Ovis aries: one gene and its partner. The protein of the gene in region 1 purifies or fractionates together with the protein of each later gene. This does not show direct contact. Links are inferred from orthologs where the notes say so. Each region holds a gene or a part of one and is shown on either strand. Other genes may lie near its edges.

Region 1 (4,293 bases):
GCGCGGCAGAGGCTCCTGTTAATCCCTCTGATCTCCTTCGACTAATTTTTCTTTACTTTTGCAGAGGAATCTACATTCTGCTCCAGCAGCCTCGGGGCACGCCGCAAAGTGCGGTGCAAACCGAGCGACGTGGGCGTTGGGATGGCCAATCTCAAGGCAATTTTAGCTTCGGCTTTCCTATGTAATGTTTAAAGTTTCGCAAACTCCAATTCTAAACTAGGAGCCGAGAGGGTAGAGCGTTTCCTGGCGAACAATTTTTCGCGTCCCAGGGAAGGTTCCAGGCATTCGTGGCTTTGCCTCGCAGATCCTTTTCACATTTCCCACCGCGGGGAATCTAAGGAGCGCTAGTGGCCTCCACTTCCAGCCCGAGCCGAGAACCGCGGTTCAGCCCTGAGATCTCAGCCGCTTCCTCCTTCAACCCTCTGGGCAAACCCAGAGCGGGCGAGTGGGGGAGCTCCCAGCCCGCGGTACTAGGCGGGGGCATGGCGGGACTACAACTCCCAGGCTGCTGTGCGAGAAGCAAAGGGGCGGGGGCGGGAGGGACGGGCTTGGGGTATAGGCGGGAGGGGTAGTTGGGGGTGGCAGGGAAATCCCGCCCCGCTGCGCAGCAGCGGCGACACAAAGCCTGACTTTACAACCTCAGAGAGAAAGTGGAAGTGAGATGGTTTAGATGGGGAGACAGGATGAGAAAAAACCTGAGGAGGGAAAGGCGCGTAGGTAGCTGAGCGAAGCGAGGGTAGTGGGGAGATCCGCGCCTCGGCACACGAGGAGGGGGCCTCTTATAACTAGTCCCCCGGCCCGCGCTCCGCCTGCGCTGGGGTCTCCACAGCGCCCCGCCGGTCCCGGCTCCTCACGCAAAGCCCGGCTCCGCCCCGCGGGGAGCGGGGAGCCCGGTTGCCTGGCGGGTTCGGGGCGGGCCGGCAGGCTGCACCGTGGCTCCCCGGCCCGAGTGCGGGACGGCCGGCGCAGCTGCCGCGGACCAAGGAGGGGCTGTGAGCGAAGCGGAGCGGCGGACGTATTAGGGCCGGGGCAGGGTAGGCTGCGGCTCCCGCACGAGCCGGGGAGTAGTGTCGAGGTGAGGCGCGGGGCGCCTCGGGAGGGTCCCCCGTGGCCGCGAGCGGGGCGGGCGCACGCGGGCTGACCGCGGAGAAGCAGGCGGTGGCTCCGCGGCAGGGTAGAGTGTAGACAGCGGGGTGCCGAACCCGCCGCTGGTGGAGAGCTCTGGGCGTCCCCCTCCCGCAGGAGGAGCCTAGCACTCCTCCGCCATCCCTCCCCCGCGCTTTCGGCTCGCTATCTCCGCGGGCTGCTGCGGGAGAGGCGGGGCCGCCGCCCCCGGCGCGGGGCGGGGCGGGGCGGTGAGTGAGGTGGGGCGGGGGCCGAGGGGGGCGGGGGGAGTTCGGAGGGCCGGCGGTTGGCGGGGCCGCGAGCCTCGCCGACCGTTTCGCGCCGCCGGCCCACGCCGCAGTGTCGTGTGTGAACGGCACCTTCTCAGACAGCCCAGTAGAGTCCAGCTCGGCGCCCGGCAGCCTTCGACGCGATGTTCCGCCGGAGCTTTAATCGTTTTGTAAGTACACTCGCTTCGGCTCCCCGCGTGTCGGTTCGCTTGCTCGCCAGCCCCTTCGCCCGGTCCCTCAGAACAGTTTCCTGAGGGGAAGACTGCGTCTCTGGGAGACACCAGCAGCGCCCGCTCTTACATTTTCACGGAAACGACGCTGCCCGGGGCGGTCGGGGTGGGGAGTCAGATAGGGCTCTCGGAGCACCCCGCCACTCCACCCCGACCCCGGCCCATTTATCCGGAGCTTCCCTGGGCTGTTCCTTACAAACTGCCGCGGACGGCGCGGGGGCGCCCTCCGAGCTGGATGGTGGGGGACCCCCCGGGGGGGACCGACCCAAGGGTCCCTCGGTGTGCCAGTTACTCGAAGATGGCGTTTTATTATCAGGGAGGTTGCTTTCTTTTGTTTCCTCTGCCATGAGCACATGGAGGTAAACCTAGACCTGTCACCGTGGTCCAAAAAAGCCCTGGGGGCTGAGGGGTGGGAGGCTGGGGCCGGGCTCAGCCGGCTGCTCACCCGAGGCCGCGCAAACTTTGGAGACCCAGCCTGAGCCTCTCACCTTGAGGGTTTAATAAAAGCGAGGGCGATCGTCGGGGTGGGCTGAGTCGAGGTGGAAACGCGAGGAGGCGGCACCGCCGCTACCAAGCGAGCGCCGGGGCTGAAGCCTCGCCGAGCACCGAACGGCCCAGACCTTGACCCGGGGGAGGAGGTGAGCTGCGGCTGGACGCCTCCGTCCACGTCGACTCCCCCTCCCCGATCCCCAGAAAAGGGAATTTTATTGCCGAGGAGTTTGGCACCCGGAAAACCGATTACTGACTTTCTTGAGTAACCTGTTCACTCCTAGAGTGTACGTGAAGAATGGAGTGAAACCGGGACCATCTACTTCTATGCTGCTATTAGTAGCAACTTCCTTAATTGCAAGATGAGGTGGCGGGAATAGGATTTTATTTCTGCCAGTAATGTGAAAGGAAGGATTCGTCAGTAAATGTGGATTTTTCTGGCCTTAGGAGAAATGGTTGAGTGCTGTGCGCGCCTACCAACCCCCCTTACAAGATCTGTTTAAGAACTTGTCGGTTTGGCTGTTTTCCTGCGATTATTCGTAATCGAAGCATTGCTAGCATTTTTCACGCTTTGGATGAATTTGCTCTCATTTTTTCTGCATTTGAAATTTTCACAAATGTACCCTGGCTAAACGAAGTAATTGTACGTCCCCTTCTAGGCTATTATTATCACAAGAGTGCTGTTAATGTTTTTCTAAAGGTTTACCTCACCAGAAGCATGTCTTATGAAATTGGAGCAGGTTTACCTGTGGCACAGCAATAGAGGTTGTTCCTATCAGGATTTTGAAATCCGTAGGAATTGGCTTGTACTGTATGTTTTGCTAAAGCAAGTGACTAAAATTGGTTTCTCACATTTAGTCTGAGAAGGTAAAAGAGCATTGTGCTTCATAGTTCTATTTCATGCAGATTCTTGTGATCCTGAGTGTTGTTTGGGGGTGTTAGAAAAGGAAAGGTGACAAAGAGGACTAATTGTAATATTTGGGAAGAGGATAATCTTTTCACATGGCATTCTTATACTGGAAAACAACTGGACTGTGGTTCGTAATATATTCGTTAGCTCAACATTGAGATGATGACTCCCCCCCCTTTTTTAAGGATTTAAAGATTTGAAACCAAACAACCAGTCTAAAAGTATCAGTCTAAAAGCCCCCTTCATCTTTCTTTTGCTCAGAGTGGTCTGCGTTGTTTGAGTCTAGTAAGGAAGCAGTGCTGGCCGGGGAAGGCAGGGCATGCAGTAGAATTTGCAGCAGTTGTTGAGGTGCCAGCCTGCAGGTTTTGAGGCTAGTACCTTGCATCCCCGTCCAAGATCTCTGCGGAGAATATGCTCACACTGAAAGGAGCTTTGACCTCATTGTTTCTGCTGGAATACTGGACTGCTCGCATTTTCCTGAGCAACCATGACTCTGGTTAAGTCTCCAGAATTTCTACCAGTGCAGTGAACTGAAAGCTTCTCAGGAGTTGTATCTGAGCCCTAGGCCTAGGGCAAGGAATTAATCTGCAAACCCTTGGACGGAATGTGAAATATACTATCAAATACTTACTGCTAAAGAATGACTTCGAAATAGTTGTGGGGGGGGGGGCGGTTTTTAGCTCCCGTAGTCAGTAAGCAAAATGCTGTCCTCATCTTTTCCTTGGTAGAGACTGAGTGGCACTCCCATTTACATCACTAGAAGGATACAACTAAAGATTTAGGTTCGTCCTTCACTTTTCACTTCCATGCATTGGAGAGAGAAATGGCAACCCACTCTAGTGTTTTTGCCTGGAGAATCCCAGGGACTGGAGAGCCTGGTGGGCTGCCGTCTATGGGGTCGCACAGAGTTGGACACGACTGAAGTGACTTAGTTTAGCTTGCCTTGCACAGTAATATAGATGTAGTCTAAGTTGTGTGCTTTTATATTTTGGAGATGGGGCTATGAATTCCTTTCAGAATTAAGTGTTTTTCTTGTGTACCCGTGTACATCTGAAATTTACTTTGAATGTAATATAAATTCCAGTGATGTTGATTGTAGTTCTTGGTCACAAAACTAGATACTACATGTTAGGAAAGGGCTTTACATTTTAAGGGCTTCCCTTGTGGTTCAGCTGGTAAAGAATTGGCCCGCAGTGCAGGAGACCTGGGTTCAATCCCTGGGTTGGGAAGATTCCCTGGAGAAGGGAAAGGCTACCCAGTATTCTGGCCT
Region 2 (3,811 bases), on another chromosome or scaffold:
AATGAATCTGAGGACAATCACCTTCACGGAAGAAAAGTTCTGAAACCCTAAGTGTTTCCGAATGGGAGAGGAAACTAATAGAGCTTCCAAATCATTACAAGTCTCATCCATGTCTTTCATTCTGCCTGTTTTGACAAAAGCAGAACTTAATGCATTTTTATAGTTTGTCCATCACATTAAAAAAAATCAAACTTTTCTGATGTTTTACATTTATGCTATTTCTGCTAAAACAAAATAATTAAATTCCTGTCTTCTCCCTAATTTATTTTTATAATTTTTAAAAAGGGAGCTTTATTGTCCATTATCTCAGTGCAAGAGCATCCATAACCACTAGATGGCAACCATCTACCAGGGACTTCAAAAGTCATCAGTACCTTTAAAAAAATCTAAAGCATAGCTACAAAAGTTCAAAAAATTGGCCTGTATTAAAGTAGTTTTGCTCCCTGAAGAATAAAACAGTACATTTTAAAAGTTCAATTTCCAGGTAAAGGAGAGCATAAATTGGTCTAGCCATGACTAGTCTGAATCTGTGTGTCCTTCACCATCTGGCTCAGTTTCCAAGAATGACAGCCAAGTGTGAATGCAAAAAGCACACAGACCACGCACGCGCGCGCGTACACACACACACACACACGCGCGCGCACACACACACACGCACACATTGCATACTTTGTGGAGAGTTTTCTAACTGCTCGTCAGTAAGGTTTTACTAAGTGTTTGCACTTATGTTAAAGGTTAAAGCATCAGATCTGATTAAAAAATGATGCAATTAACTGTGTGAATTAGTATTTATTTTCTAAAGTAAAAACTGTTGGTATTAAAAGCAGTCAACACAGTTTGAGCAATAATTTTTTAAATACAAACATATGTAGATAGAATCTTGATACAAAAGTGATTTGTACAGTTATAAAATTTTCCAGAAATAGGTTTCAAATTTTGCTTATTAAGTACCAATTAGAATAAACTATTAATGCATTTAATTATCAGACAGCATAATTCGCTAACTAAACAAAATAATCTTCCTCAAAAGTGTACTGACTCTCAATAAATTAAAGCGACATCTCAACAAGAAAATAACTAGTAAAAAATAATTAATATCAATATTTTTTAAAGCATGGGTTTTCCAAGACATTACTTAGAATACAGACCTCAAATGACTGGTCCAGTGTGAAGTTAATGGTACAAATACAAGGTGTAACATTCGGAGACAAACATTTATAGCAGGGACTGGAAGGATCTGTTCCGGTATAATCAATCTGCAAGAGAAAAACATAACTAAGTATATTTCCTTGGAGAAAGTGAATACACTCTGAAATAATCTGCTATCAGATAGAAAAATGAGTCTGAGAGAGCAACCACAGGCCAGAAAAAAATCTTTTTATAAGGTCATCTATTAGACAGTGTGAGCCTGTAAAAACTGGAAAGGATCCTATGTAATCCTACTGGCTCATCTCTCCTTTTTCACAAAGAAACACATTTATGCACAAAATCATAAATATAAAATTCAAACTGTATGATGTATTAACTTTTAAATAGCTATAAAGTCTAAACAACTTTTCTGTCATCTCAGCTTTCCATGGCATATCTTCAAATTAAATAAAGCAAACAAAATACTATCAGGTTTCTCAAGGGCTACCATTTTTAAAACCTGGTGTTGGATAATTAAGAATCTGTTTTATCTCTGTCTTGGGTTCCTGGTAGGAGCCTCTAAATCCTTTAAAATTTCCCTGCTGATTAGAGTCTGTTTTTGATAAGCCCCTTAATTCACATGAGTTTGTGCTAAGACAATGGGACAGGCAGGGGGCCAGTCATCAGAAAGACCAGATGTGACTTGGGACTTTGGCCCAGTTCAAACTCTGCAAAGAGGGAGAAGGCTGGAGGTTTAGTTGAATCATGTCTTAGTCGCTCAGTCGTGTTAACTCTTTGCAATCCTATGGACTGTAGCCCATCAGACTCCTTTGTCCATGGAATTCTCCGGCAAGAATTGGAGTGGGTTGCCATTCCCTTCTCCAGAGGATCTTCCTGACCCAGGAATCGAACCCGGGTTTCCTGCACTGCAGGCAGATTCTTTACCAACTGAACCACCAGTGTTTAATCAATCCTGTCTTCATCATACTGCTACAGCTGCTAAGTAGTAGACACACACTTCAGTCGTGTCTGACTGTGTGCGACCCCATAGATGGCAGCCCACCAGGCTCCCCCGTCCCTGGGACTCTCCCAGCAAGAGTACTGGAGTGGACTGCCATTTCCTTTTCCAATGCACGAAAGTGAAAAGTGAAAGTGAAGTCGCTCAGTCGTATCCGACCCTCAGCGACCCCGTGGACTGCAGCCCACAAGGCTCCTCCATCCATGGGATTTTCCAGGCAAGAGTACTGGAGTGAGTTGCCACTGCCTTCTCCTGGAATCCCAATAAAAACACTGGCCACCAAAGCGCAGGTGAGTTTTGAGTTGGTTAGCCCATCCACAAGCCCCGATTCTGAGGGAAGAGGAGTGCACGAAGCTCTACATTCAGGACCTCACCAAATGTCTGTTTAGCTGATCCTGATTAATACAATTTTAAATAAAAGTGTAAGTCTAGCACTTCCCTGAGTTCTGAGTCGTTCCAGCATCTTGGGAAACCTGAGAGAAGTTACAGTAACCTCCCACATTTATAAGCAGTTGGTGAGAAGTTCAGGTGGCCTGGAGACGTCTGAACTTGCACCTGGCCTGTGAAGTGAGGGCGGTCTGGGGGAGGCCTCAGAACTCCCTTATTTGTAGCCAGTTGGCCGTAAGTATGGGTTGTCCTGGAGCCTGACTTGCAGCTGGTGCCTGACTGGCACTCAGATGTATTGCTGGAGACCAAGCCCTTACACCTGTGGACTCTGACACAAAGGCAGGTGGTTAGTGTCACAACTGAATTGCAATACACCAGCAGATGTCAGAAGACCTGACCTAACAGCTAAAATGAGAAAAGTTTTTTCCATTACATGAATTTTTTAAAATAGATTTTATTTTCTAGAGTGGTTTGAAGTTCACAGCAAAACTGAATGCAAACTACAGAGTTCCCATATACTCCCTGGACCTACACAGACACAATCTCCCTGATTATCAATATCCCTCACCAGAGAAACGTACTTGTTACAAATGATGACCCTGTAACGTTACATCATCACCCAAAGGCAATGGTTCACCTTAAGACTCACTCCTGGTGTTGCACATTCCATGGGTTTTGACAAGTGTGTAATGACATAAATACACCATCACATTATCATACTGAATAGTTTCATACCTTAAAAACTCTCTGCACTCTACCTATTCATTCTTCCCTCACCCCTAACCCCTGACAACCATGGATCTTTTTACTGTCTCCATGGTTTTGCCTCTTCCAGAATGGCACATAATTTGAAATCATATAGCATGTAGCCTTTTTGGATTTATCTCGTTCACTTAGTAATACGCATTTAAGATTTCTGTCTTTCCATGACTTGATAGCACATTTCTTTTTAGCATCAAAGATTATTCCATTTTCTTGGTGTACCACAGAGGACATCTTGGTTGTTTCCAAGTTTGAGCAATTACAAGTAAAACTGCTATAAACATCCATGTGCAGGTTTTCATGTGGATGTAAATTTTCAGCCTATTTACATAAATAACAAGCAGTAAAAATGCTGGATTGCGTTTTAAGAGTATGTTTAGTTTTGTAAGAGACTGCCAAACTGTCTTCCAAAATGGCTGTACCATTTTGCACTCCCACCAGCAATAAACGACTTCCTTTTGCTCCACATCCTCACCAGCATGTGATGCTGTTGATGTTTTGGGTCTTCACCATTTG

What was found.
Region 2: the proteins of ATP11C (region 1) and TMEM30A purify together in Homo sapiens (co-immunoprecipitation; 4 studies listed by BioGRID and IntAct, with this or other methods). This does not show direct contact. The link is inferred for Ovis aries from reciprocal best matches to the Homo sapiens genes ATP11C and TMEM30A.

What each region holds. Positions count from the first base shown.
Region 1 is NC_056080.1:95,503,122-95,507,414, forward strand, and holds the start of ATP11C (phospholipid-transporting ATPase IG), read left to right. Parts: upstream 1-1,392; 5' UTR 1,393-1,537; coding exon 1,538-1,564; intron 1,565-4,293. UniProt on the Homo sapiens protein: Catalytic component of a P4-ATPase flippase complex which catalyzes the hydrolysis of ATP coupled to the transport of aminophospholipids, phosphatidylserines (PS) and phosphatidylethanolamines (PE), from the outer to the inner leaflet of the plasma membrane.
Region 2 is NC_056061.1:2,071,640-2,075,450, forward strand, and holds part of TMEM30A (cell cycle control protein 50A), read right to left. Parts: intron 1,257-3,811; coding exon 1,149-1,256; intron 1-1,148. UniProt on the Homo sapiens protein: Accessory component of a P4-ATPase flippase complex which catalyzes the hydrolysis of ATP coupled to the transport of aminophospholipids from the outer to the inner leaflet of various membranes and ensures the maintenance of asymmetric distribution of phospholipids.